3 linked regions of the Saccharomyces cerevisiae S288C genome follow. Changing the gene in region 1 together with any one later gene gives a genetic interaction. Each region holds a gene or a part of one and is shown on either strand. Other genes may lie near its edges.

The links.
Region 2: mutations in DAN4 (region 1) and THI72 together harm fitness more than expected from each alone (negative genetic interaction), as found in Saccharomyces cerevisiae (one large-scale study listed by BioGRID).
Region 3: mutations in DAN4 (region 1) and HMS1 together harm fitness less than expected from each alone (positive genetic interaction), as found in Saccharomyces cerevisiae (one large-scale study listed by BioGRID).

Annotation. Positions count from the first base shown.
Region 1 is NC_001142.9:710,017-720,572, reverse strand, and holds DAN4 (Dan4p), read left to right. Parts: upstream 1-4,832; coding exon 4,833-8,318; downstream 8,319-10,556. Other genes in the region: DAL5 (allantoate permease), read right to left, coding at 1-907. UniProt on the Saccharomyces cerevisiae protein: Component of the cell wall.
Region 2 is NC_001147.6:696,564-707,119, forward strand, and holds THI72 (thiamine transporter), read right to left. Parts: upstream 4,005-10,556; coding exon 2,205-4,004; downstream 1-2,204. Other genes in the region: translocase ULS1, read left to right, coding at 1-771; YOR192C-C (uncharacterized protein), read right to left, coding at 7,425-7,661. UniProt on the Saccharomyces cerevisiae protein: Low affinity thiamine transporter responsible for intake of thiamine. It is possible that the primary function is the uptake of closely related compounds and that thiamine transport is a secondary activity of these proteins.
Region 3 is NC_001147.6:382,581-393,075, reverse strand, and holds HMS1 (Hms1p), read left to right. Parts: upstream 1-2,000; coding exon 2,001-3,305; downstream 3,306-10,495. Other genes in the region: Rad2 family nuclease EXO1, read left to right, coding at 1-660; YOR032W-A (uncharacterized protein), read right to left, coding at 700-900; DFG16 (Dfg16p), read right to left, coding at 4,392-6,251; YOR029W (uncharacterized protein), read right to left, coding at 8,141-8,476; CIN5 (Cin5p), read left to right, coding at 8,656-9,543; Hsp90 cochaperone STI1, read right to left, coding at 10,254-10,495. UniProt on the Saccharomyces cerevisiae protein: Involved in exit from mitosis and pseudohyphal differentiation.

The sequences.
Region 1 (10,556 bases):
TCTCGTGATTACCGAACCCTTGTTGGTTAGACCTAATTCTTTGGACAACCATTAATTTCTCTCTTTTAGATAAAAACCTTGCTTTTGATGGATCGTCAGGGATCCACAGGAATATCAAGATACCAATGAAGATTGTTATCACACCAGTAATGACAAATAAGGTTCTCCAGCCTTTAATAGCATAAGAATCCTGGTGAATGTAAACACCGTACGCAATTGCGTTGATCAGGATGGAGCCAAGACCGTTCATACCAAACCAAATTGATACTCTTGTGAATTGTTCCTCTGTCTTCCAGTATTGAGCAGTGATAATGGTAAAGCAAGGTGTGACAACACTTTCTGCGCAACCTAAAAGTACTCTCAAAACAATGAAAGAAGGATACTTAACTGTTGGAGCTGCATGTAAAGCTAATAACATTCCCCATATGACAATAAAAACCGCAAGCATTTTTGACATGTGACTGGTCCTTTGGAAAATGAACTGTACCGGGCCTAGGTTCATAAATAGATAGCCGAAATAAAAGGCGGAAGTAACCCATGAATACTGGTCACCATGCATTTTCAAGTCAGTTCTTAATCCCATGACCGCCGCTGAACTAGTGGAAATCTTGTCCATAAATTGAACAGCATACAATATACACATCAAAGGAAACATACAATAGTCGATCTTCCAACGAAGTTTTCTATCTTCTTCTGGTGTCACTTCGATTTCTTTGGCTTCTTCAGCCAACTTCATGGCCTCATCAACCTTGTCACTGATGTAGACAATTTTACCGTTGGGTGATAGTACCGTGCTTAGAACTGGCTCCGCGGTTACGTCTTCATTCTTGATTTCAGCTTCTGAAGTGATGTTTAAATTTTTTTCGTCTAGGGAAGCATTCGAATTTGTACTAGCATCCGCTGACATCTTGAATTTTTTTTTTTACACTATTTGATTATCCTTGTTTTGTTGTTTTCTTCAATGTTGTTATGTTAAACCTTTCCCTCATGATCTCCTAATTTGATGTTTCCTTGGTCCATTTATATACATATATTACTTCATCCAATCTGTATATTCGGAAAACCAGATAATGATAAGTATTAGCCGTATCTTCGGAGTTACACTACCACTTAATTGTGTGAGTGATTGGTGATAACGTTCTCTGACATCTTGGCCAAATCTTTTGCCCCGATAATCCACATGATCATAAGGTCGATTGTTATTCGTTTGCTGAATTCCGCACTTCACTCAGACTAACGCGAGGGACTCTTATCGAAAAGGAACAAAGCGTGCGGCAGGAGCGCGCTGTAGCACCTTATCAGCAAATGATAGCTCCTCGAGCATTTGTCAAGTGACTGATGAGAACGCTTCTCTGATATGCATAGATGTTGCGGAAACAATCAGATACTGGGAAAGGACACTCCAGAGTCAGTCATAGGCTGTAAACCTGATTAAGGTGCAATAAGAAAGAAAAATCCGCCGGGATCCACCATGGATATTGTGCTGATGTAAAAGTATTCCTAGATTGTCTTGTTATCAATGTCAAATTCGGTGTTCATTCTGGGTAGTTATTTTGCTGAAGTCAAATTAAGTATTCTGTTTTACTCGGGATGCATTACATCTGCTTTGCGTCATAAAATAAGCATTCAAGCACCACTTTTTGATGTTTTAATGTATTTGCTCATCTCGGCTATATGGTAGAAAGCTTGAAAGTTAAACAGATGTTCATTTTTTCATCCTTACGAATGACCTCTCGTTTATCTAATCTGCTATTACGGTGTACAATAGAAACACACATGTCAAGATATAAACTAACATCCTTATCATAAGAAGAAACTCTGAGCCATCACAATTAGCGGGTAGATTTCTTTTTCCATTAATGTGAGCCAGCACTCTTTATCTTTCGTTATCCTCACTGAAGATATGGTCATCTGTAACGCCCGGATGAAAGAAAGAGAATCGCACTTTCTGTTTGCAATAACATCTTGAAAGTAGTGTTGATGTGAAAGATTGCAAGTATTTCATACCTCAAGTCTTTCTTGCTCCACTTTTTCATGCCAAAATGGGATTTCGTAGATGTTTGTTTATCCACGTCGAATCGTGGCTGTTATTTACTACGTATAGCCTTCCTAGCTTGTAAATAGTTTGAAAATTCCTGACAGAACACTCTTTCTTGCTTTTGCCTATTCTTATGAGCAGCTCTCAGGTACGGACCAGAACGCATAACGATACTTGGTGCTATATTCTCTGAAATATATGATATCTCACACTTAGGGTGCTACACATTTGTCTGAAAACCAACGACGATAAAAGCTATTTAACGTCCATACCAATTTAGCACTATGGGGAAGTGGATGTCTTTTTTTAATCATTTTCATAAATTTTAGGATTTTTTTTTATGAAGTAAACGAATCAAAATTTTTTGTTGATATTCTTTTATTTTTGCGCGAATACAATTACATAAAACTCATCAATTGTTCTCTATTACCTACCCTATTTTTCCCTATCACACGGCCAACGCCGTATACTAACCGTAGTGTGCCATAAAAAGGAATGAACGGGTAAGAACAGGTCATCCCAAACTCGGCGTATTTAATCAGTTCTTCGTGTAATAACACTTTAGGTGAGGGTGATGCTGACAGCGGATGTCAACGGCGAGGCTTGAAAGGATGACAATAAGTTTCTGACTTCGCTAAAGATGTAAATATAGCTTGAGTTATTGACAATAATGGATTAGACAAGAAGATTACATACGTCTCTGATGTTTTACGCAGCGCTGTCATACTCACACGCTTCGGCTCTACTCCTTCAAGTAAAAATCTTTTGTGTATACGTATCTTAAGCTTGGAGTAGAAGCTGTCTCTGGCCTTTTGTACTCGTTTACACGATTACAACTGATCAACAGATCTGGTTTTTTTTTTCAGCTGTTACAGATGGATTTGTAAGCCGAAAGGTATTTTCGTCATCCCCTTATATAAGATGGGAAACGAAGGTAAAAGATTAACGATAGCATCGCATATATAGGATTCCTAATTACTTTTTCGAAGTGCAAGTGGAGTATCGAACATGTCTCTGTCTGTTTACTTCGACTTTTATAGTGGCGAGATAATAAGACTATTTTATTAGCAAGGGATAACTACACATTTATTGAGGCTCCTCTTTATCCTTAAAACGGAACAAGGTTAGCATGTCTTTCAATCTTAAGTTTAAGAGGCCGCCGGACATCTTCATATCAACCCTTTTCCTGCCAGGAGGCAGGCACAATCATTTGTTGTGCATGTAGGGCTAGATTTTTGAAAATTTGGCATTTCGAGCATATGGGCCCCAGAATAAGCTTCAGGCTAGTTTTTTTTTTTTAGCTTCTATTATGTATGCCCGTCAAGATCATTAGTATCGCATGATTTGGTTGATTAACCACAGAATGTTGAGAAATTCTCACAATGGAAGACATATCGGCCTACGGTAAGATTACACTGAGGACCTTATGTAGTCTGATTGCTTCTGTTTACGCAGAGCCCCGCATATTTTGATAGTTTGATATGAAACCTTTACAAATCATTGAGAGTGCGCCGTACTCGTCGAATCGCGGGGAATGTCTTCTATTAACGTGTCCTCTACGGGCCGTCATTCCAAACGGGCAGCTGTAGGCGACTAATGAACCACCTCTGAATGCAAAGGATGTAAACTGTTGGCACAATAATGGGGCTGACGTAGCGTGAAGAAAATATAACTGATATGTTAAAGGAAATACAAAAGATTTCATGACCGCTAACACAACAATACTAAGTTATGAGGGTAGAGATTTTTCGTTACTGTTGCTATAAGAACCCGAATCAAGACCGTTTATCATATATGAACTATTATGATTGGCAAGGCTTTTTCTTAATTCAAGTCACACGTCGAGGTCTCCCTTGGAATTCGTATAAATCACACTAAAAGTTCTGTGGATTCTATTAAATGAAAGCAACGGTTCCGCTTTGGATGCATAGAACCTTCGTGAGTAATTATTTTCCAATTGGAGGAATGGATGTTATCATCAAACGATAACATTCATAGCCAAGAAGTATTTGGGTTTTCTTTTTGTCACATGTAGACTTTGATACTTCTCTGTGCAAGCTATGACAGGTTACAAAGCGCATTGAGTGGCGGGCTGCAAAAAAATGAGGAGATATTTCAATTAACAAGATCTAGTTTCCTAATACGGACCTTTTTCGGAGCGCTAGGATCAAAATTGGATAGCACAAACAGCTTCTCTCTCTCTACGAGCTAAGATCCTCTGAATGGTGCTTGCACATTCTCGTTTGCAGCATATTTACTCCTTTTCGAGTGTGCTAAACCCCAAGTGACCCAGTGTCTACTGACTGGGAAAAAGTGATCTTTCTGTTTGGTAGCGCGTATAGCACGTAGAGTAAAGTTATGTGAATGTCTATTGAACGACGACATCAAATTAACTTTTTTTGCAGTTCTGTCACTTAATCACAGATAATAAGAGCAGAACAATTTAGGCACGGGGAAATTCGATCGATCTGCCCATCCGTAGGCGTTTTCTCCGGAGAAGTTTTTACATGCTGCGCATTTCTTTGGCGGTGAAAAAGACAGTACATCGCGTGCCTTTAAAGATGTCAAAAATTATACGAGATCTGTTTAAGATCTCCATCGTTCAGGAACTGTAAAACAAGAAGCATTGGCAAAGATAGTGATTTTGCTCCAATATATTCGTTTATACAACAGCTGTTTGGTTCGAAAGCCTATAAATGGCCTGTGTAAATGGCTGTATTGAGAGTATGCTCAAACTGAAATAAGTACCAGTTCCTGTCGAATCTGCGATATCCGAAAAACTCCGAAGAAAGCAATGGTTAATATAAGCATCGTAGCAGGAATTGTAGCCTTAGCTACTAGTGCGGCTGCTATTACAGCGACCACTACTTTATCTCCTTACGATGAAAGAGTCAACCTTATTGAATTGGCTGTTTATGTTTCTGACATCAGAGCCCACATATTTCAGTACTACTCTTTCCGGAATCACCATAAGACTGAAACATATCCTTCGGAAATCGCAGCAGCCGTTTTTGACTACGGTGATTTCACTACTCGATTGACCGGTATTTCGGGTGATGAAGTAACTAGAATGATCACTGGTGTTCCGTGGTACTCTACCAGATTAAAGCCGGCTATCTCTTCAGCGCTTTCAAAGGATGGTATTTACACGGCTATCCCAACCTCTACTTCTACAACGACTACAAAATCTAGTACTTCGACTACTCCTACCACCACTATCACTTCTACTACTTCTACCACATCGACTACTCCTACAACCTCTACTACTTCTACCACTCCTACAACTTCTACCACATCGACTACTCCTACAACCTCTACTACTTCTACCACTCCTACAACTTCTACCACATCGACTACTCCTACAACCTCTACTACTTCTACCACTCCTACAACTTCTACCACATCGACTACTCCTACAACCTCTACTACTTCTACCACTCCTACAACTTCTACAACTTCTACCACTCCTACAACTTCTACCACTCCTACAACTTCTACAACCTCCACCACTTCTCAAACTTCCACCAAATCGACTACTCCTACTACTTCAAGCACATCGACTACTCCTACAACTTCTACCACTCCTACAACTTCTACAACCTCTACCGCTCCTACAACTTCTACAACTTCTACAACCTCTACCACTTCTACCATTTCTACCGCTCCCACGACCTCTACAACTTCAAGCACTTTCAGTACTTCTAGTGCCTCTGCATCCTCTGTCATTTCTACCACTGCTACAACCTCTACCACTTTTGCCAGTCTTACTACACCTGCCACATCTACGGCTTCTACTGACCATACAACCTCTAGTGTCTCAACAACTAACGCATTCACTACTTCTGCAACTACTACTACTACGAGCGATACATATATCAGTTCAAGTAGTCCCAGCCAAGTCACTTCATCCGCTGAGCCTACTACTGTCAGTGAAGTCACCTCTTCTGTTGAACCTACCAGGTCTAGTCAAGTCACTTCATCCGCTGAACCTACTACTGTCAGTGAATTCACCTCTTCTGTTGAACCTACCAGGTCTAGTCAAGTCACTTCATCCGCTGAACCTACTACTGTCAGTGAATTCACCTCTTCTGTTGAACCTACCAGGTCTAGTCAAGTCACTTCATCCGCTGAACCTACTACTGTCAGTGAATTCACCTCTTCTGTTGAACCTACCAGGTCTAGTCAAGTCACTTCATCCGCTGAACCTACTACTGTCAGTGAATTCACCTCTTCTGTTGAACCTACCAGGTCTAGTCAAGTCACTTCATCCGCTGAACCTACTACTGTCAGTGAATTCACCTCTTCTGTTGAACCTATCAGGTCTAGTCAAGTCACTTCATCCGCTGAACCTACTACTGTAAGTGAAGTCACCTCTTCTGTTGAACCTATCAGGTCTAGTCAAGTGACCACGACAGAACCTGTTTCTTCCTTCGGGTCTACTTTCAGTGAAATCACCTCTTCTGCTGAACCTCTCTCTTTCAGTAAAGCAACCACTTCCGCAGAATCTATCTCCTCTAATCAAATCACCATTTCCAGTGAACTAATAGTTTCTAGTGTAATTACTTCCTCTTCTGAGATTCCTTCTTCCATTGAAGTACTTACTTCAAGCGGGATCAGTTCATCAGTTGAACCCACTTCTTTGGTTGGACCTTCTTCTGATGAATCCATTTCTTCTACTGAAAGTCTATCTGCCACATCCACTTTCACTTCAGCCGTTGTTTCCTCGAGCAAGGCTGCTGATTTCTTTACCAGATCCACTGTTTCTGCTAAATCTGATGTCTCTGGTAACTCCTCTACCCAATCTACTACCTTTTTTGCTACGCCTTCCACTCCACTTGCTGTTTCTTCAACTGTGGTCACTAGCTCTACCGATTCAGTTTCTCCTAATATTCCCTTCAGTGAAATCAGTTCCTCTCCAGAGTCGTCTACTGCAATTACGTCTACATCCACTAGCTTCATTGCTGAGCGGACTTCTTCCTTATATCTTTCGTCATCAAATATGTCAAGTTTCACTTTAAGTACTTTCACTGTTTCCCAATCGATCGTCTCTTCATTTTCTATGGAACCTACATCGTCAGTCGCATCTTTTGCATCAAGTTCCCCTCTCTTAGTATCCTCAAGAAGTAATTGCAGTGATGCCAGAAGTTCCAACACCATCAGTAGCGGTCTGTTCAGCACGATAGAAAATGTTCGTAATGCAACCTCAACATTTACAAACCTATCAACAGATGAAATTGTCATCACGAGCTGTAAGAGTAGTTGTACTAATGAAGATAGTGTTTTGACGAAAACTCAAGTTTCTACCGTTGAAACTACTATAACTAGTTGTTCGGGTGGTATTTGTACCACGCTGATGTCTCCGGTTACTACTATTAATGCTAAGGCGAACACATTAACAACTACAGAAACTTCCACGGTCGAAACAACTATAACAACATGCCCTGGTGGTGTTTGCTCGACCCTGACTGTTCCAGTTACTACAATCACCAGCGAAGCCACTACCACCGCTACCATTAGTTGCGAAGATAATGAAGAAGATATCACTTCTACTGAAACCGAGTTGCTAACTTTGGAAACTACTATAACTAGTTGTTCGGGTGGTATTTGTACCACGCTGATGTCTCCGGTTACTACTATTAATGCTAAGGCGAACACATTAACAACTACAGAAACTTCCACGGTCGAAACAACTATAACAACATGCTCTGGTGGTGTTTGCTCGACCCTGACTGTTCCAGTTACTACAATCACCAGCGAAGCAACTACCACCGCTACCATTAGTTGCGAAGATAATGAAGAAGATGTCGCCTCTACTAAAACCGAGTTGCTAACTATGGAAACTACTATTACTAGTTGTTCGGGTGGTATTTGCACCACGCTGATGTCTCCGGTTAGTAGTTTCAACTCCAAAGCCACTACATCGAACAATGCAGAGTCGACCATCCCCAAAGCGATTAAAGTCAGTTGCTCTGCGGGTGCCTGTACCACCCTGACTACTGTCGATGCAGGGATTAGCATGTTTACCAGAACCGGATTGTCTATCACTCAAACTACTGTGACCAACTGCTCAGGTGGAACCTGTACCATGTTAACTGCACCAATCGCGACCGCTACCAGCAAAGTCATCTCACCAATTCCAAAAGCCTCCTCGGCTACTTCCATTGCTCATTCATCTGCTTCTTATACTGTCAGTATCAATACCAACGGTGCCTATAATTTCGATAAAGATAACATTTTTGGTACCGCTATCGTTGCTGTTGTCGCTTTATTACTGCTATAGTGATACAATATAATCTTCACAAGCATATAAACAATTGTAAAATAATTTAAATTGACTTGAAAGAAATTTTAAATCTATACTTGATTCATGTAGCACATAATACTACGGTTTGTGAACATACTCCTATACACTTTGAATGGTTTGTATGATATACAGGTATCTAAACATTAGTGTTACCAGTTCGTATATTAACACTAGTTAAATTTGAATCCTCTAAGGTATCGCCAACAAGTAAAATTTTACATTTAATTGAGAAGTTTTTTAATTTTTCTAAGAAAACATTAAAAATATCACAATATGGGCTTCAGCCTAAAATTATGGTTTTTTTTTTCCCTCATCCTTCATTTTATTACCTCCGTTTATTGACGTGTTCGACAACTCACATATGAAGCTTTAAATACTTTGTTCACTGTTAGTTTAAATAAAATTTAGCCTTTAGGTTAAAAATCGTGTCAAAAAAGGAATTCTTCCAAGAACATGAACTAAAGCTCTTCTTAAAATAAAGTTATGTAAGATAGAACTACGCGGCACAAAGATGGAATTGAGAAATAACGCTCCATAAAGTTGACGCTGCTAAATTCTAGGTCACAAGGCATTAGAAATGAGGGCCTTTGAAAAAATTTATTCAAGTAAACTGCTTTCTGAAGAGTTCGCTCTCATCGACATTGGTAGAAGAATAGTGTAGTGTAGTAGCAACCGTTAGTAGTTTATTAATGTCTAAAATTCAGTATAACTAAGAATAGAAGCAAGTATTCTTATACGGTATAGCAGAAACGTATAACTGATGCGGCGATGACGAATGTATTCAAAATGATGGTATTTCAGTGATTTGCTATATTTCCAATGTAATAACTCGCATCCCTACGTATATTAAATTTGAATTAACATTGAATTAATAGATCTTTAACGTAACTTCTTCCGCTAGTTTCGCAGTAGTATCTTGTTTCCTAGCCTGGAGCTATGAAGTATACTGTTTGGTCACTTTATTCAGTTACTATGGTTACTAAAATTATAAACCACCCGTTCCGACAACGACAATGAAGATCTATTTTGCAAATTTGGAACAGAAATAACCATAACCATGAGGTTCGTTATCGTTGACTACATATTACAATCCGAAATGAACATTCGGCCTAGAATGCATTGTACCTTTACAATACTTTGTAAAACATCTTTCAATGTGTATTTTCCTAGCTTAGGTAACACAACTAGGTAACTTATTGGGATGGTTGAGTCTTAAGTGCAGGCCATTTATTATCAATACTGAATCTTGTATGTTTTTGTCAACTCTTGACAGAAAGCTTCAGTCAGCGAAGCAAACTTTCGACCTTCTGTATCATATTTTTCTGCTCTATTTATAGCGAAAGAGAGAAGCCTACAAGAGGATAAGTACTAATCTTGTGATTATTGATTTTCTCCAAAGATTGGGAAAATTACTTAGTTGCACAGCGGAAATGTTTCGATCTCTGACTTTGTAATCGTCAAAATATTCTAGCAGAGCGCAACTTATTTAATTCATACTGTGCGTTCTCCTTGTGGTTTCTAAGACAATCTTTGAGCATGTTTATGGATGCACTTAGGGGTCCTACAAGCCTTCGTATGAAGTTGCCCCTCGCAAGCACACTATAAATTCATGAACAATTGCGCAGTCAAAGTTAGATTGTAAGCCGAATTCAAACGATTTCAACAGTCGTAGCTAACGAGGCCTTTTGTCTCACACCCTTACAAAGGGACTGTAGAATGCAAGGGCAAACAGGCCTGAGGTAACTTTAAAATATAATGTACCTTGAAAACTATGTATACATTGCATTTATTAAGCAGTAGGGTATTTTGTTTGCAAGAAAATAAAGCTCAAAATATCTTTGGAGTTTGACAATAGTATAGAAAAAATAGCTCAGCAACCTTAATAAAAAAAGGGTCATTGGGCAAAGCGTTTTAAAAAGATTTAAGTGGTAGTGTTTAAAGTGAAAGAGATTGATATAGTTAAAAATTGTTGAGCTCAATTCACGCTGGATTCGGCGATCCGTTTTCTTCAATCCTCACGTGCTTTCTTCGTTTGAGTGCAAAAGTTCATATGATGCTATCTCCCGCTTATCTTATTAGTCGAAAATGGGGAGAATTTCCTATTTTATCTGTCGTTTAGCACATATGGCCAGGAAAATACATAAGGTTTCGCCGAACGACGGGGTCAATTCGTCCTTTTTGTACACATCGTTTAATTTATGAGGAAAAATTGAT
Region 2 (10,556 bases), on another chromosome or scaffold:
TCATCCATGCTACCTCAGGCCAAGAAAACCAAAGGTGGGGCATTTGCTATCCCATGCAAAGATTGTCAACGTTTGACAAACGAGAAAGATATTGTTTCGCACAAGTTATACGACCAGGTAATAAACCAGGGATTTACTGAGGAAGATTTGCATGCAGAGTATTTAAGTGAAATGGAGAAACAAAAAATACAGCAAAAAAATGTATATGTGCCAAATTTTGAGAGTTTAGAACCATCTACGAAGATAGAGCAATGTATACAGGTTATTCAAAGAGTTTTTGATGAATCAGCAACCGAAAAAATTATTATTTTTTCCCAGTTTACAACATTTTTTGAGATTCTCGAACATTTTCTCAAAAATAAACTGAATTTTCCCTACTTGAAATATATTGGATCAATGAACGCTCAGAGAAGATCAGATGTTATCAACGAATTTTATCGTGACCCTGAGAAAAGGATACTTCTGATTTCCATGAAAGCCGGTAACTCAGGACTAACATTGACATGTGCGAACCATGTAGTTATAGTTGATCCATTTTGGAATCCTTACGTCGAAGAACAAGCTCAAGACCGTTGCTATAGAATTAGTCAAACAAAAAAAGTCCAGGTGCATAAATTGTTTATAAAGGACTCTGTTGAGGATCGTATTTCTGAATTACAGAAGAGAAAGAAGGAAATGGTCGATTCTGCCATGGACCCAGGCAAGATAAAGGAAGTGAATAGTTTAGGGCGTCGGGAGTTAGGATTTTTATTTGGTTTAAACGCTCTTTGAAGAACTTGGTGAATTTTGAAGCATTATTGCGATACACATATGTATATGTTGATAATTGGTGGCTAAGCTTCTAGTTTGTAGGCTTAAGTAACTTCACTCGTTGGCACTTACGAGCTTGGCATTTAATGGAACAGAAAATAAGCCGTAAATCGGCCCTACTTTAAGTATAAGAAATATGCGAAATTTGATATGATCGTTTGAATTACTTTTTGAAAAAGAAAATACCATTAGTAACATACAATATAAGAAGCTCGTCTCCTGGATTTGGAAATCCACAAAAGATTATCAACAATGCCACGAATAACATAATTGCTTCCCCCTCCTGTTAATTGCTTTAACTCATTATTGCATCGTTAACAGTTGTTACTAAATTTGATTTTTGTTTCTCATCATATATGTAATCTTCAAACGCCAGTATAATTATACGCTCGCAACAGCTACCATACATTAATGAACCGATGAAAATATCCCGTTTGATGATAACTGGCAATTAAATGACAGTATTAATTAATAATCAAAGCTGATCTTATATTCCTATAAAAGAGAAGCGTATAAAACACACGTGGATTGGGGGTGCTTTATACGTAAACTGTGATTTCAGTAATTTTCGCTGTAAGATCAAAGTAAAGACACATTCCCTTATATGTAAAGTTCAAATTCATTGTTCCACTAATAGACCGTCAACTTTTCTTTTGGATTTTCAGCCCGAACAGGTTGCTTATTATTAACTTCCTTACAACAAGGTACAGTCAGTGCATTATATAGATCTATACAACCATGTGCCTTTGTGTTTTCTAAGGCTATACTGAAAATAAATTGGTAATTTATAATTTCTATCTTCACGCGCTTTCTCACTAACAAGACTTGACCTCTCAAATAAGTGGCGCAGATGCTCTAGAAAAGGTTTCTTATCAAATAAGTTTTGCTCTTTAATCGCACAATGCAATGCAAGTTATTTTTTTTTTTTTGATTTAATGACTTTCGATTTCCTCTCATAGGCAACCGGTACTTATCATAAGTACGTAATAAGAAAAGTATGTCGCAGGACGTCATAAGCTCAGACTTGAACAAAAGAGTAACAAAATCGCCTCCACCTAATTTTCAGCCCTACTAGAGCCTGATAGGATATCGGCACTGAAGCTGATAAGAGAATCAATGAAAATATCATCCTCAACAGAAATACTGAAAAGAAGCGGTAGTTTTTTTTTCTTGTTACAATTATCAGCCAAACAAAAACAGTGATCTGAATCGTCAATCAAACATTAGTGGAAGAATGAAATAATCGAAATGACCTCTATATCCTGTACGACCAACAAGCTTAATAGTAGTGTTTCCTGGGACTAAAGAGTGTGTTTAATTATCTCGAATTTTAATACTAGCGAAAGATCTTGAATGAACACTAAGTATGATCATTTTATTAGGTTTTTTGCTCATTAGGCAATTTGTTTTTCACTGGAAGTAGAGGATTCCTTTTCATTATCTTTCTGATGAACAATTTCAAACACTTTTGTGTTTTCTGAACTAGTTTTTGTCAACTCAGGTAGTTCATCATCGGAGCTCTCAGGTTTGTATTCGTGTCCACTTGTGAAGCATTCGCCTAATGTGTAAGCACGGATTTCTTCTTCAGAAATTTCACTGTATGGAACCATGCCCTTCTTCCTTGCTTCTTCGTCGGTAAACGCACCGTAGTAATCTTTGTCATCATGTTTGACAGTAATTTTGAATGGGAAGAGGAGGCATAGTCCCCAATAGACGAAAAAGGAAATCAAAAAGGAGAAGAAAGAATCACCATAGAAAAAATTTATAATACCAGTGTTGTGGAAATAGTCATTATTGACTTCCCAAGCGATACCAGGTAGACCGGGAGCCATACCACACACCCAGGCAACGATAGCTCTCCAGTTGACACCCTTGGTAAAATAGTATTCACCCTTTAGAACAAAGGCATTGGTAACGGAGTATTGTCTCTTCCTGATGAGGAAATTATCACAGATCATGACAGTGATAATAGGTGTCATTACGACACCGAAAGAGCTCATAACAGTCAAGAAAGTAGAAGAAGAGTTGTAAAAGTTCCATGGCAAACAGGCCCAGGAGACGCATGCGGCAAAAATAGCACCTCTCTTAATATCAACATATTTCGGTAATAAACCAGCCAAATCCATACCACTGGCAAACCCACAGTTGGAGATGGTATATGAAATTTGAGACATTACAAAACAAAAACCACAGAAGAATGTAGCTGCACGCGCGCCTGCAGAATAGTTAGTTGTCAACCAGTTGTCAAAGATGTCCATAGGCATCCAAAATGTTTGACCGTATAATTTTTCACAAGCAGAAGCACCAATGATACCGAATACTGGGATCAAGGTTGCTGGTATTAGTAAAGCAACTATAGTACCAGTCCAGATAGCGCAATTAGAGGAACCAAATCTGGAGAAGTCACTTTGATTGGTACAGCCTGGAGAAACAGAACCGTACCAGTACGAGATCGTATAAACCCAAGCCCAAGCCTTTTTAGAGCCAGTAACTGTGGAATGAGTAGAAGTGAACAAGTCACCAACACCATGTGCGCTCTTAGTTAAGTAAATTACCATACCCAACATGGCGAAGAAAGTACCAACACACGACCAAATTAAAATATAGTTCATATGGTATGGCTTCATAAAGTAACAGAACGCGGTAAGGATATGGAAGATAATGAAGCCGATCAATTCCTTGGTGGTCATGGCAACTTTCGAGGACAAAGTATTGGGCAGATGCAAATAGTGGTGAGACCAAGAATCTAATATCATGTTTACACAAAGCCCACCTAACCAAGCGTTGGAACCATAATAGACAATACTCATCAATATTCTGATAATGATACCAAGAGCTGAACCGTAAATCCCAAAGACGAATCTTTGAGCTAGAGTGAAGCCGACCTTCCAGTCATAGCCAGGACAAGAGTTGGCTAAAGCAAACAGGATGGTCAACAAATCAGCAATAATAAACGCACCGATGGTCTCTGAGTAACTTAACCCAACAGTTAATGCAGACGAACCGCCTATCCACATACCAACGTTGAAGGACAGAACACCCCAATACGCAAAATTAGACCAAAACCCCCACGTTTGATTAACAGACTTGATAGGTTGCAAATCAGGGTTCCTTAAAAAATTCACGGAGGCCCTATTTTTAACAGGAATTTCCAAAAATCTCAAAGCCCTGGAGATTCTCGTACCGAAACTCATAATGGTGTAATGCTAGAGTTTTTTTTGCTTGATAGTATATCAGATATGAGAGCAATAGATGATGATACAAGTTCTACAGTGGAAAATAACATGGTACACGCTCTTGGCAACATTGAAATTACAGCTCTCATATATAAAAAATGGAAAGAAAAAAGAGAAGAAAAAAGAGAAGAAATGAATTCTATTATGATAGCGAATGCAAAATATTCGTCCACATTCTTTTATCTATTGTCTTCCTTCTTTCTGTGCAACTACCAGAAAAAGCTATTTCATCTAGTCGAGTAGACTAATTAATGAATTATCTCGTCTTCCATATAAATTAATAAGGCAACCAGCAGGAGACGCCTATTGTTAAGCGTATTACGAAACCTGCGGATCTGTGCGCTATTGTTATGCCAGTGAAGGAGCCTGTCATCATGCACTCATGTGCCCGCGCGCGCGCTTCTGTGACTACAACTTATTGTAGGGCGTAGTACACTGACGCCTAGCGCTCAAAATACACATATGCAGTGTGGCCGACTATGCGATGAAGCGGAACAGTCTATCTTATGTGAATGGTTGCAAAATGCCGTTATATGGATACTACGGTGCGAACACGTATTTATAATAGGATAATCTTGTATCTATTCGTTTTATGCTACTAGTTCTAACCTTTAGGAAGTGTCCTTCACAATATCAGCCCTACATGCAGTGGTCTTCGTAAATCCTGTGAGGTTTTGTCTCATTTCTCTATGCTGGAAGGGCTTCGTAGAAGATTCCGCAAAATAATGGAATTGAAGCCCTGCGCCAAGCAAGCCTCACGAGGATCGTCGGTTCTGAGACGTAACCACGCTCTTGAATCTTGTTTATGTGATCAGCAATGACGTCTTCGGTGGTAATACCATTTCATTCCGGAAAAGATGAGTTTGTAGTCGGTTAGGGAGTACCGTGGCGTCCTTTCCTATTTCTGCAAATTTGCTGTCCATGTTGGCAACTACTCTCAAAGGTGGCAACTGCTTAGTAAATAGCCATATCGCTCAGAGATACATATCAAGAAACTCTAGCCAGATGATCACGAATCCCGAAGCGATGTAATTTTCCGTGAGGCAGTCCTGAATCAGGCCGTAGATTGACTATTAGCATCTCTTTTTGAGTATGCTAAGAAGTAGAGGGCTACCTTATTCCCACACACTTTTTACCACGGGCGAAACATTTATTTTCAAGTCCCAGCACAGTGATGGGATGAAGTCCAGGATGCGTCATACGGTCCTATGGCAAACTTCGGGGAAGGTTTAATATGCTGCTTTCAAGCAGGATTAACGGTAATCAACTCCCTAGGCAAATTGGCTCAACTCTGCCTATCTATCCACTGAGGATTTCAAATCCACCGAATGGGAGAATATGTCAGTGTCCATTTTGGAGTAAGGTATGAGTTCTTTTTTCGTCAGCTTTTCTTCTATATCTTACAATTGCTTATCTTAAACCACCGATATTTTTGCAGTCCCTTCATCATCGAGCACAATGGCCTATACGTTGAAATTTTGGTTTTGGTTTGAAGCCCACTCATCTTGGCATCGCTGACGTGTTTTCTTCCAAGATTTAAAGAGGACTACTCGGTGCAGGTGGACATCTCGAATGAATATGTTACCTAGCTTGATCTCCTCCATCAAATTACAACCTTTTTGCAGTGAATTTTGATACATGGATTTCGGAGCTTAAACACGTATTAACTGAAATTCAGGCATGGCGAGAAAATTCCCATCAGAACTTGAAGAATACTCTAAATACTACTGAGATAAACCGAGAGGTGACGTGAAATTCTTCCCAGATGTTCAATATATTATGAAAAACCATCCAGCTGAATTACCTCATTTGCAGATCAATTTCAAAGGCTTCGGTTCGGGGATAATGAGACATTCTGTCCAAAATGTCCCATTTATTACAGCCTCGGAATTAAGGTGCTTGATACTGTTCTCATAAACATGTGACTGCATTGGTGGTTGATGGAGTAATGATACCACTGAGCGGTTTCAAATGCTAAAAGTCTTTTGAAGCTATCACAGTTACCCTCGGATTTGGCAGTCTAATTCAAGTGCCGTAGATACCGTGGCATTGAAATATTCGAGGCAGTTATTAGCAATGCTCAAGAGGATATTATGCGGAGTGCTACCCTATTTGCATTTTTATGATGTCATTGACGATGCGAGAAAGTCTAACATGATTAGATTGGCACCTGCACATTATATATTGCGTTTCTGAACTTGTACATTGTAATGAATGTGTTTAGGAAACCGATGAGTAAATCATAAACCAAGGTGGGATCTCATTATCAATTTTTTTTTCATATCAGTTACAATAAATATAACTTGAATAATTTTTCAATGATTGTCGAATTTCTAAAACATTCACACATTCTGAGAATAATAGAGCAAGGTTTTCGAAGATACAAACCCCATTAGCACCCTAATTTGTTGTACTTGTGTTTTTTCACCACTAGCACATCGTTTTACGATTCTTGAAAGGCTAGATGGAATAGTGCAGAGCCCAAAGGATAATATCCATAGTTAAACAGCCGTTCTTTGCGACCTGAATGATTGCTTACTTTGATTTTGTTGCATTACAGGCTTTGGTAATAGCAAAGTTTGTCGCCAAATCTGTTTTACCGTTAGAAAAGCTACTTCTCTTCAAGACGTCATTCTCAGCTTGACCTACAGAATGCTACTTATCCAACATATCACGTAAAATCTAAGATATACTATATGATAGAAGCGCAGATTACCGGATCTAAAATAATTGTCTGGGTATTTATTCATGTGGGTTATTTATCCAAGCAAGAATTTGACCCAACGTGCTCTATCTTGTTTGATTCACTAAGGTTTCTACTGTGAATTCTACGAATTTTGTGATAATGGTAGGGTTTCCATTCTTTTCAAAGGCTGTAATATTAGGTATACAGAATATACTAGAAATTCTCCTCCAGGATATAGAAATCCCCAAAATGGAATCGGTAGTTCAACAAATAATATTACGATTATTTCTCAATCTTTATGCCATCTTCTTTCACCGCATGTAATAGTATACTAGTAACACTAATACTATTTAACAGATGACATTTTAGAGTTGGAGGAGAACTTCTAGTATATTCTGTATATATAATATTATAGCCTTTATCAAAAATGGAATCCAAACAATTATCTCAAAATTCACCAATATCTTACGTTGATTCTGTTGGAACGAGAGTAATTAATAGTGACATGAGTTGCTATGGTAACAATCTAATGCTTACATCGTATATTAATGTACACCTCGTATACGTTTAAGTGTGATTGTGCCTATTGCAGAAGGAATGTTAAACGAGAAGCTCAGACCATACTGAAGCTGTGTTAAAGACCTATTAGTTGAACATGATATGGTAGGTACATATATGAGGAATATGAGTCGTCACATCAATGTATAGTAACTACCGGAATCACTATTATATTGGTCATGATTAATATGACCAATCGGCGTGTGTTTTTGAAAAGTGGGTGAATTTTGAGATAATTGTTGGGATTCCATTTTTAATAAGGCAATAATATTAGGTATGTAGAATGTACTAGAAGTTCTCCTCAAGGATTTAGGAATCCATGAAAGGGAATCTGCAATTCTACACAATTCTATAAATATTATTATCATCATTTTATATGTTAATATTCATTGATCCTATTACATTATCAATCCTTGCGTTTCAGCTTCCACTAATTTAGATGACTATTTCTCATCATTTGCGTCATCTTCTAACACCGTATATGATAATATACTAGTAACGTAAATACTAGTTAGTAGATGATAGTTGATTTTTATTCCAACATACCACCCATAATGTAATAGATCTAATGAATCCATTTGTTAGTTAATAGTTTAAATGTTTTTATCGGAAGAGGTTTTGTCATCACATCAGCAATGTTCTTATTGGTCTCGATGTAGTATACGTATAAATTATTACCTGATACTTCATCTCTAAGTCTCATTGCCTTCGTGCCAAAAAATCTGTTTCTAAATTTCTCTTCATTTGTAGACTTAATTATACTGATCGTTGATCTACTATCAGTAAGTAAGCCTTTAATAATTGGTTTCTTGTTAAGTTCTTGCACAAGGTGACTGAGGTTATTCAATAGCGGTATAGCTTCACTGACTGCGTGTATTTCTGCTTCTGTAGTTGAAGTGCATGTTAACGAAGCCTTTGTCGACTTTCCTCCAATCACTTTTCCGTTGAGTAGGAAAATGTTACCAATTTGTGACTTGTAATATGGTTGGTTACCATATGAAGCATCGCTTATTGCGACTAGTTTATTATCTGGCTTGGTAGGTTTGTTTTTGTGCCATATTAATTGTTTATCTCTAGTGTCCCACATGAATTGTATTAACTCATATGTCATGTCTAAAACTTGCCTAGAGGGGAATAGTATATGTTGAGCAAGTGTGTTGATGTAGTATAGTAAGTCAAATCTAAATTTATATCCAACATATGAAGCTAGACCAATCAACTTTTGCATTTCATGCACTTTCTCTTTGTATTCATCTTCATCTATTTCTAGTTCATCCTGGTCTATATAATGACCTGGTTGACCTGGAGCTCTAAGTTTCTTTCCTTTTGGGTTCAAAGGTACGTTTAGTTTGGGTAATTTTTCTGTCAAGGATTTTTCCATACCTAATTTCATGTACTTGCTTCTTTGATATTTGATCTCTAATCCAAGTATGTCGTACTGAATTTCGTTATCACCTTCACCCAGATTTATTATCTTTGTATCGTATTGTTTCTTGAGTGTTGTTATGATTTTCTTATTTGCATTTAAGTCTTTGCTAAATAAAATCATGTCGTCAACGAATAAGCAAATTGTTACTTGACTATTCTTAAATACGCATGACCATCCGCGAACTTCTTGCATGTCGCAACAATTTATTAAATATGATTTAATGGTTTCATACCAGTTTGCACCACTTTGTTTCAAACCATAGAGTGATTTTCTCAAACGTAGTAATTTATCATTCAAACCTAAATGTGGTGGAGGTCTTATGTATAATTCTTCTTTGATATCAGCATATAAGTAAGCAGAGGATATGTCCAGCTGTGTGATATAATAGTCGTTGTCTAATGCGATTGACAGTGACGTCATCAGTGCATAGTGATGTACGGTATTGGATTGCATATCAGAATCATATGTATCGGGGTGTTGAATGTCGCCTCTTGCAACAAATCTAGCTTTGTGTGTACCATCACGTTTCTTGTTAAATATAAACATTGAGTTTATTACTTTTTTAGGATCTATGTCATTTCTATCATAATATTTGTTTGTATCCCAAGTGTTCATTTTCAATAGTTGGCTAATTTCTTTATGATAAGCTTCAACATATCTGTCTTTTTCTTTGTTGTCTTTATTATAAGTAATTGCTTCATCATATCTTAAGGTCGTTCGAACTGGTTTGATCGATTTCACTCCTTTTATTGCTGCAATTAAATTTATGCGTTTCTTCGATCTTGGTGGTTCCAGACTTCTCATATTCTTATTATTCCATGTGTCTCGGGATACCTCAATTTCAGTTTCATTATCTTCTAATGATCTTTTCTTACTTTTGGTAGTAGTCAGAACATTAGAATCATCCATACCACCCAAACTGGAATTAGTCTGACGAGAGTGTATGTGTGGAATATCTTTTGAAACATCAGAAGTGTCCGTAGGAGATTGATGGGTTAAGTCAGGAAGTGGGAGGTCGTCAAGAATAGAATCAGCCGTAACATTTTTTGAGGATTTGTCAGGCATTATATTAGGAGTCGCATGGTCAGAAGATCGATATTCTGGCGGATCCGTATCAATGGAGGGTGTATTATCACATGCAGCCTTTGTTTCTATGGAGATGATGGGAGTAGTGGATTCACTGTTGGACGAACGGTCATCTATTGAGGGCGTACTATTTGTAGTCCTGTATTTGATATTTGTATCACTATTTCGTTGAATATATGGTTCCTCCGTACCACCCAAACGTGTAGTTTTGATGTTTTCAAGTCCATAATTAACTCTATCCTGTGAGGTCAAATCAATCATATCGTTGGGACTACCAGGTCGCTTTTGGTTTCGTGCAGTGAAGGTAGACGAGTGTCTAGGTGAAGTAGTATCTGATTCAATGGTACCACCCATTTCGGTACTCTCTTTATTAATGATATGGGGTGTACGAGATCGTATAGTAGATGGAAGAATATTGTATTCAGATATGTCGGCATCAACTTCTTTTGGTGCACGTACCTTTTGGACTGGTTCCTTGTCTAATTGTAAAGGGTTCAATGATTGGGACGAGAAATCGTTCACTAGAGGATCAGAGTTTATTTCAATCTCCGATTGATAGTCATGATCAGATTCTGTATTTTGATCATATGACTGCTCCGTTTCATTTTGTTCAATAAAAGATTGGTTATGGGCTGTTAAACGATTGAGATCATCATCAAAAGTGAGTGTATCGTAGTCGAACTGGTCCAATTTCGTTTGCTTGTTTTGTAATATAACGTAATTGGTAGTATCTACTGTCTTTTTTAAGGAT
Region 3 (10,495 bases), on another chromosome or scaffold:
GAGTCTCAACTATCTACACAAATACCTAGTTCTTTTATTACAACCAATTTAGAGGATGACGACAACCTGAGTGAAGAGGTTTCTGAAGTTGTCAGTGACATTGAAGAGGACCGAAAGAATTCTGAAGGAAAGACTATCGGTAACGAAATCTATAATACAGATGATGACGGTGATGGCGATACTAGCGAGGATTATAGCGAAACTGCGGAATCAAGAGTTCCCACGAGCAGCACCACCTCATTTCCCGGGTCATCCCAGAGGAGTATATCGGGGTGCACAAAAGTTTTACAAAAGTTTAGATATTCATCTTCATTCAGCGGAGTTAATGCAAATAGACAACCACTATTTCCTCGGCACGTTAATCAAAAAAGTAGAGGAATGGTATACGTCAATCAAAATAGAGATGATGATTGCGACGATAACGATGGTAAAAATCAAATCACGCAAAGGCCATCACTGCGAAAAAGCCTTATTGGTGCCAGGTCACAGAGAATTGTGATTGACATGAAAAGCGTAGATGAACGAAAATCATTCAATTCATCACCAATTTTGCATGAGGAAAGTAAGAAAAGGGACATCGAAACTACTAAGTCAAGCCAAGCTCGGCCGGCAGTCAGATCTATCTCCTTGCTTTCCCAATTTGTTTATAAAGGTAAATAAAAGTTAAGTACTGCACGTTTCATATCGGAGGTATATTTTTCAAATGAAAATCTCGTCGAAATGCCTCAAGACAAGAATTAAAAAATCAATGCCCAGTAAAGTAGGACAGGGTACGGTTGGAGTAAGAAGCCTTCTACTTTGGGAAAAAGCCATTGTACTAGACCAAGAAAAGATTAAAAGTAGATGTGTCAAATTAAGCCACAAGTATGTTTGCCCCGCTATGAACAATGCACGCCGCATGTGAGGACAACTTTATATGTTTTGCGAGCGCGCTGGGCATGTGCAATTCACATTTTTTTTTTCCTTTTTTTTAACCCACTCTATTTATCTAATCAAGCCGCTAGCGGTCTACATTCGCTATCAACTGAACGAATAGTGATGCAATCTGAACCTTAAACTTTTCGCTCGCTTTTACTTTCCAGAAAAAATTTTCTTCATTGGGATTCCTCTGCTGACAAACGGGCTCACAGAACTGAGGAAACGAGAATTTTGTTAATCAAAGCAACATTACGGGAAGGAACGGAACCGTCTCGTTGCTGTGGGCGCGAGTTCGACGCAAGAAAAAAATGCTGCAGCATCGTCTTTTGTGAACGCCAAGAAGGAGTCCGGCGAAGGTATTGGGCGTCACAACCTTTTATTCTCCGCAGTGTCTCTTGCCTACAAAGCCTGCAGAAGCTTTTATGCCGGGGTGTACGTATGTTAATCAGTTACCCTTTCCTACTGTGTGCCGCACCCCTCATTTGCTCTCGATACGAGAAGTTCCGCGCCGATTCTGGCCTTTTTGTTTTCTGGCTAGCCTACTTTCAGGGGACGTGCCTTCTTATGCCGCTGTAAATTACAGCAGAGATTTAGATCTGAGTGAAAACGTGGCGAGGAAAAAGGGTACACCGTTAAAAGCGTAGACACAATCCCACTTTGTTGTGCCTAGTCTTCTCTGCTGTATTTTAATTTTCTGTTTGAACTTTTTTCCGTTCTTTTCCATCATTGTTTAATTTTTACTTTGAGTGGGCTTCTCAAAAGAAAAAAATAGCTGGTATTGTATTTTTACCGTAGGCGTTTTCTTTGTATTTTTCCCAAGAGCAGCAGCACCTTTTATATACCTTGGTTACACATTGTAAGCCTCAAAAATCGTCCTATGTAAGTGTCTTATCGCATCATACTTAAGGTCAAACCTGTAAAGCGCGCTTCTAGTTTTATTTCTACTACTCGCCTTGGCTCTCGAGATCGCTTAGGTAGTTTAATAGTTAGTCACACCCACCCACCCATTCGCTTAGAATATAGAATATAGAGCAGTTGCAGTACACGACTCATTTTAGCAACGATAAGAGTATAAATTGGAAATGCCAAATTTTCAAAAACCTTTTTCTGGTTCTTCGGATGGCAATTCTGTAATGAACGACCTAGGTAATAAAGTCGCCATCAAGGTTTTTGATTGTAGAAGTGCTCAAGATGGCAGCGAAGAGCAGAATGTAAATGTAACCACGAACCAAATGTATTTAATGTTTCAAAGTAACAATTACAACGTGCCGCCACCAAATTACAATACCGAGGATTTGGGTTCTCAAGGACCTCCGACGCATGCTTATTACGCTCCATTTCAGCATCCCATCCATCTTCAACCTCCCGTGCCTCCTGTATATAAGAACAACACATATTCTGCCACAGACCAGTATAGTGACTCCTCGTTTCCTAATACTTCAGGCCACACTCCAGTAATTGATAGTAATTACTATAATGATGCTCTGGCTTCTATACCTACAACAACGACGGGTAGTACTACAATGACTACAGACAATGGCAATACTATTGACAGCGAAGAATACATTGATAACATGGAAGTCTTTAGTAGCGAGGAAAATGAAAACATTGATAATGTAAAGCAAACCGATCTTAAATCTGAAAAGGACTCGAGTCTTCTTTCAGCAGCTTCAATCGTGAAAAAGGAACAATTGTCTGGCTTTGAAAATTTTTTGCCTTTATCGAAGACAGAGTCTCCCTTAGTTACTGCAGACGAGATTAAATCATCTTTGAATTTGGAGAATATTGACAATGCTGACAGTATGAGCTTCAAGTTAAAAACTTCACCTATACGGAAACATTTTCATGTTAAACCCAAAAGAATAACAAGGGTGAGGACAGGAAGGGTATCACACAATATAATTGAAAAGAAATACCGTTCCAATATTAATGATAAAATTGAACAATTAAGGAGAACTGTCCCAACGCTACGAGTAGCGTATAAAAAATGTAACGATCTTCCCATTACATCTAGAGACCTAGCAGACTTAGATGGCCTAGAGCCAGCAACAAAATTGAATAAGGCGTCCATTTTAACGAAATCTATTGAATATATTTGTCATTTAGAAAGAAAGTGCCTACAGCTAAGCTTGGCTAATCAACATTTATCAAATGACACACGGGATTCTTTCGTCCATCTTACCGAGCCATCTCAACCGTTGAGTGACAACAGTAGTAGTGAACAAGTACAAAAGCAAACCAGAAGCTGCCAACGCCAACGGCAGCGGCAGCCACGACAACAACAACCATTGCATAACATTCAATATAATATTCCACATCAAAACGGCCTCATGAGCGGCACCAACAATTCACATGATATGGATTTTAACAACGCAGGAGACTTTTAATACTTGAACAACAAAATGTTTCAACACGACAGATAAAACGAAGAAGAAATACTATATACAAATCTGTACTTGTGTGTATGCGTAACATTGTAATTTTAATTTTGCATTGAGAAATCTATTTTATTCATCTCTTTTAGTGTTAGTAAACACTCGCAGATGCCTTGAGCTCCGCACCGTAATTTAGTTTAATTTATTTCTCTTAGTGCCGTCTAAATAATAACGATCTAAAAAAAAGATTCCGGGAAAAAGAAACTATACCTTATATTTAGTTCATGCAGTTAAATAAATGTTGTTAATTAAGGGTAAAATATGATGATGTATTTATGATAAGTAAAGAGTAGGGGTCACCTAACATTTTTCACAATTGCATTTACTCTTTTCACAAGTGCACGTGGTTTCGCATTTGCATTTTTCACCACAACTCTTACATTGAGGGCTTCCGGTGCTGTGATCACATTTGCACTTTTCACCGCCAGAACAGCTTGGAAGGCAGGTGCTCCCACAATGACAAGAGTCCTTACAACATTCGCCTTAACAGTCACATATTTTTACAGTCATATTTATTGAGTACTATTTGACATTGTAGTGTTCAGTGTAATATCGCTTCGCTATTCTTAGGGGGGACGATGTGCGCCCTTCTTATATAGGCCCCGCTTGATCACTACTTCACAGCCCTCTCGCATCCCTATCCTTTTTTTGTCCGAAAGACAAAAATCACTTCCACACAGCAATAAAGACGCATTTATTGTTCTTTTTCTTAAAAGTGCTTGCAGTAGGGGGTTTAGCAAAAGAAAAAAATATATGACCGGTTGTTATGCGATCTGACGTAAAGTGGAACTCATTTTGAAGGGTTTCTGCACAGAAGTCAATGCCAGAAGGATTTGGAACACCTACAGGACTGAACGTCGGACTAAAATAATGTTGGTAGAGTATGGTATTACTGTAAATTAATCGTTTATACGTGACGTTGACGATGGGATTTGATTTTCTTGTATATCTGACTTGAAAATAAAAGCAATAAATGACCACAAGAAATAAAGGCAGCTGTACTTCTGCAGTTATGTCTTTTCGTCCACTGGGCCTGCCTTAATCACTATTTTCGTAATTATAAATGTGGTTGGTTCGAAGTTCGGTTTCCATACTTTCGTTGTCACTGATGTCTGTAGCTAGATAATTGGAATCTCTAATATGTTTGTCGGCTCCTGGTCTAACAGTTGAGCCTTCTTTATTCTGTCCAATGCCATTTTTTGGTTCATATGAATTGGTTTTTCGCCTAGGCTTCCTTAATAGCTGTCGATATTTGGATAATGTCGTTTTAGTATTAGGTTTGCCATTCGATTTACTTCCAAAACTGGGATTTTGCCCAAATTTATTCTCACTTTTCATTATCTTATGTCTTCTTCTTCTGTCCCTTATTCTTTCGATTGGAGATTTCCAGGTGGGTGAAGGGGATCCTACTAAACTTGATGAATCGTGGGAAGTAGTGTTACTTTTAGTAGTGTTTAAATCCCTGTTTAACGTTATGGCGCTTAAATGCTTGCCTAAATCTTCTCCGTAATAATTGACTGTTGGATTGGCGAAAAATTTGTCCCTATTGTTAATTTTTCGTCCAAGGACTGTTTTTTTGCTTATGTGCAGCTCCCTCTTTTCCAATACTCCAATTAAGCCCCAAACGTTCACTGTTATTAAAACTTTCAAAAGATGAACAAAGTTAAATGTCCAACCTCTAACATGTTTGGTGAAAGCAGCGAAAAAAATTGTGGTGAAATAGAATAAAATAAATATAAGAATATTATACGCCAATAATGGTATAGTTTCGTGATAATTTTCCCAAAGAATTCTCAATTTCGTTTTACACTTACCGTCCGTATTAATTTCAGCAGTTTTCGGTAAAAGTATGTAAGCAAAATTATGCCATGTGAAGTAACAAATAATGGAGATGAAAATTGTGTAAATCAGTAATTCGATTAGCTTGTAAAATACCTTCAAAACTACAAGGTTCTTTCTCCAAAGAAGGTTTGCGAATAAAATGTTATCGGCTAGTGAGAGGAAGCAACCCACGGTAATTATGATATGTGTCCCCTTTTTCATTTTAAATGGGATCCAATTCCAAGTTGGTTTTCCATAATTGGACTGTAAGTAGTGAACAATATAAATCCAGTTTATATCACTCAAAATATTTGCAACTAATTCACATATTTTATATGGTGCAGTTTCTACGATGAACGATTCAAATTGGCTCGCATCCTGGTAGTCATCGTGATATTGGCTGTCAAATATGACGGCTATAGTCTCGTTTAGAAATACAGTTCTTATAATCGCAGAGAAAAGGACGTAAACATGTACAACTTTATTTCTTCTATTATGATTATCGGATGGCAGTAATAAGACAACCAAAAATAGCATCCATGTTGCCACACAGATACACCCAGAAGCAAAGGTGATCATTATCATTCCTAAGGGAAATGGGTCTTTTCCGATGTATTTACTACTGTCATCTTGAACGTTGAATTTGTTGTTGATGTCATAAACAAAGTCTTGTAAGACATGAGAGAAATTAGGATTTGCACTGCCATTATCGCATCGGATCAAAAAGGATGGGTAATTTAAAGTGTAATTATAAGCACGTAAGTGCCACGAATTACTTGCTAGAGAGATGAAGCCACCTGTCAATACATTTACCGTGCATGAGTTTTCATATTTATTTAGTAGTTTATCATCTATCAAATCAGTCAGATTGTAAGCTGGAATGTTGTCGATGTGTTTTTTATAAGGTGGCCGGTGGTCGTAATGCGGTGGTCTTTCATCACCAAGTTTATGTCCCGGAGGACCAGGTATCAAATCGGGAGGTTGAATTCTCTTTCTTGCTGCTTTTTCATACGCACCTACAAGTCCTAAATGGTAAACTAAAGTGAGGAGGTAGTAAAAATGCAATCTTATGATCATTAATCTTGCACGTAAAGACGTTCCGCAACAAAAAATGCTTGTGAGTGCAATATCAATAAGTATTGTTTTTGAGCCTTCGGAGTTGAGCTGCCATTTGGTGGTACTTGTTTTGAATATGATAGAAGCCTTATCTTTGACACTTCTTCCAGTCAATTTTCTCGCCAAGTTAAAAAAAAAAGTTACAATTTTCTCATCACCCCGAAACAACAAAAGAAAGTATATTGCTCTTTAGCCCTTCCTTGCAGATTTTTCAATCCAACGGGGCTAGTAAATCTGATATCAATCACATCGATTGTGTTATCTTCACATGTTGTTTGATAGAAATCAGACCTTCTTTTTTCTTCTTCTCGGATGTTTATAGTTAGTAAAGCTAAACTGTGTATATATGGCAATCACCGAAGACGAATTATTACAGGACAGAAATAAATGGGTTACACACCAGAAATCAGGGACAAAAGGGCCCAACGGAAATTTTATAGGTTGTTTTGTTTATCTGTGCACATAGGCGACAAAACTAAAGTTATGTATCTAAGAATTACAACGTAGTGTAGGTGAGCGGTACTTGAAACTTTCTTTTTGTAAACACCATAAAAGGATATTAATGACATCGGTTGAAATAATGACATCTAGAAGGAAAATTACAACTAGAAGAAAGCGTGATTATGTTGTAAAGAATCCGGCAAATAGAAAAGCTAAAAGATGATTGCAAGGCTAGTGAAGATATTTCAAAACTTAGTTACTCGTTACCTTAAAAACCTTACATTGTTCTCATGTATTACATGAAATTCTATCTTTTCTTTTTGAATAAGCTCTAAGTATTAATCCTCAAGTATTAATTGCCCACCACCTTCTTAAAACTGTTGTTTTTTAATTACAATTTTCTACGCTAACCCGTTTCTTCCATTTTCTCACTGTTAGTATTCCCATATAACGATCTTCTTAGATTATCTATAAAAGCGTATTTTGAGATTTGTTGCAATGACCTAAAAATGGTTGACAGTCATTCTTCTTGTTGCTGCTTTTAATAAACTAATTCTTTAGAGAAGGATAAGTACTGTGACATATTTACACTTTTTAACTAACTTCTTTGGCCACAACTAGTGAAATGTTCATCTACTGCGCAATTCAATATGCCCGCCGATAGCTAAGCGATAGCTCTTTCAAAAATTTTAAAAAAAAGGTACTATCAAACTGAATTGGAATGATTATGGTTCAAACTTACTCCTGATTCAAATATAGCAAAAAAATCAGGTGTGCAGCTATAGATCTGCCAGATACACGAGTCATTGCGAAAGGCACCATATATTACCTTATTTAGTGCCTTCTTGAAAAACAACTACAAGATCTTAACGTCACTGTATAGTGCCATTCGGTGAGCAAAGACAGGTATTGGTACTAATTGACAGTAAATGACTTATCTAACCCGTTGACGCAATGCTTCGCTTTTGCCATCAAGAATGTTGAACTGTGCAAAATGGTATTTTTTCGGAGAAACATTTCAAAATGGAAAGGTAACAACGTCCGTAGTTTTGTTTTTCCGTTTTATCGTTTACATGATTATCCTGAAAAGTCCCCTGCAGCAGCAATCATAGGGCCCACTCACTGCCATGTCTTCCCACCTCCTAAGAAATGGCTGCCCCACGCCCCTTTGACGACTTACTCCTCAAGGTAAAACTTGGCGTACGGAGAGGGGTCGAGAAAAGGTTCCGAGTGGAAATGTACGCCAATGTTTAGGGCTACGTGGAATGTGATCTCATTCTTACAAAACACGTAGATGATGAAAAGGGCCGCAAAAGTTTCTGTTATTCTTTAAATTGTTCCCAGAAATCCTCGAAGGAATGACCTAAATCTTAAGGCACTTGCTTTTAAAACTATTGTTCGTTAATTTGTTAGTAATGCAACCAAGTGCTCCAGCCCAACCGAAAAAAAGGGAAATTAACTTTACATCGATAAGCTCTGACGCAATGCGGGAGGGGATTTCCCGAGCGGAAATACCACGGCGCTGAAAAAAAAAAAATCGGAACCGGAGTTGCCTCACCGATCCCAATGGTGACATGCAAAGAAAATTTTATTGGCATTAAATCTATGAGGAAGAGGGTAGGAAGGAGTACTAGGCAAAAATCGTAACTAGGAGCAGAAGGCGAGTAAAACCCTTTCAATACTAGGGAGAGAGTGATTTGATAAGGATACCTCCTCACTCGAGAACTAGTTGATGTCTGCATCATTACCAAAGTTCATGTATATAAAAAAGGAACTGGGTGATTTATTTTTTCTCACGCATTCTGCTTACAAATAATTCATTAGATAATTTTACTGATTAACTACGACTTTTTGCAGCCGTTAATCTCATCATAGATATAGAATAACAGCTTGGAACAAGAAGGAAAACCAAAAACCTACTCAAATGTTAATGCAAATAAAAATGGACAATCATCCTTTTAATTTTCAACCTATTTTAGCTTCCCATTCAATGACAAGAGACAGTACAAAGCCAAAAAAAATGACGGATACCGCTTTCGTGCCAAGCCCTCCTGTAGGGTTTATTAAAGAGGAGAACAAGGCTGATTTGCATACAATTTCGGTAGTTGCTTCGAATGTGACTCTACCGCAAATTCAGCTCCCAAAGATTGCAACACTTGAAGAGCCTGGTTATGAGAGCAGAACTGGCTCACTTACAGATCTTTCTGGAAGAAGAAATTCTGTTAATATAGGAGCATTGTGTGAGGATGTTCCAAATACTGCGGGCCCACATATTGCAAGGCCGGTGACAATAAACAATTTGATTCCTCCGTCTTTACCAAGACTGAACACATACCAGCTTAGACCGCAACTATCAGATACTCATTTAAACTGTCACTTCAATTCTAATCCATACACCACTGCATCACACGCACCATTTGAATCTTCCTACACTACTGCATCTACATTTACTAGCCAACCGGCAGCTTCATATTTTCCCTCAAATAGTACCCCAGCTACGAGAAAAAATAGTGCCACGACTAACCTTCCTTCAGAGGAAAGACGTCGAGTTTCCGTTTCTCTTTCAGAGCAGGTTTTTAACGAAGGCGAAAGATATAACAATGATGGCCAGTTGATCGGTAAAACAGGCAAACCTTTAAGAAATACTAAGAGAGCTGCCCAAAATCGAAGCGCACAAAAGGCGTTTAGGCAGCGTCGTGAGAAATACATCAAAAATCTCGAAGAAAAATCAAAACTATTCGATGGCTTGATGAAAGAAAACAGTGAATTGAAAAAAATGATTGAATCATTAAAGTCGAAATTAAAAGAATAAAATAATGAATAATTATTAGTACTAGTAACATCTTAAAAGTTTTCAAAGCACATGGCAAGCACTTCTTCAGGGGGATGCAACCCCCCTTCTCCAAAGAAAATTGATGCCTAAGGTGGCGAAAATATTACGAGATAGGAAACAATTTATGGTTTCTAGTTTCAGGCAGCTTGTATTAGGTAATCAACAAAGCTTAATTTTCACCATTTTTATTTTCTTTCCTTCATCTCCCTTTTTTTATGGCAGGCACATTACTAAAAAGGAAAGAGTCAAGAGTGTAAAAATATACGTAGAAAATACATAGTAAGAAACGAAATTATATCATAGCAATTTGAAAAGTTTATTTCCCTAATTTTTTCAGCTTAGCGAATGTTGTCATGGAGCTTAGATATTCTCGCTTTTTTTTTTTCGCATTCTGATGTAATGAATATTGTTGACGTAAAGTTGTGCCAATTACGTAATTTTTTTTGTTTCTAAGGAGAGTTCCGGCCAGAAATTTCCTAGGGCTGATCCGGAGAACGACAGGAAAGATGGTCCGATGTTTTTTTCCCTCGCCCAAGAAACTTATTATCTTCAAGTTCCGATTTCTCAAATATCAACCATAGCATGAAACAAATTTAGTATACTAAGTGAGAAGATCATTATATGTACGTATGTATGAAAAAGCAGTAAAAAAAGAATTCAAGATAATAAAGTTATATTTCGTATTATTTTTAGCGGCCAGTCCGGATGATACCAGCAGCGATCAACGTCTGAATCTTTTTGAATACTTCTGGATTTTTCATGTGTTCTTGTAAAGCAGCGGGATTCTGTTGGGCCTGCTGCAAAATACTTTGCATAACAGGATCTTGCATGATCGCAGCCACTTCAGGATCTTTCATGGCCCTTTGATAGGTTTCTTCTGGGGTTTCGTTACTGGTACCAGGTTGGAATCTTTGTTGGCTTGCCTTGTAGT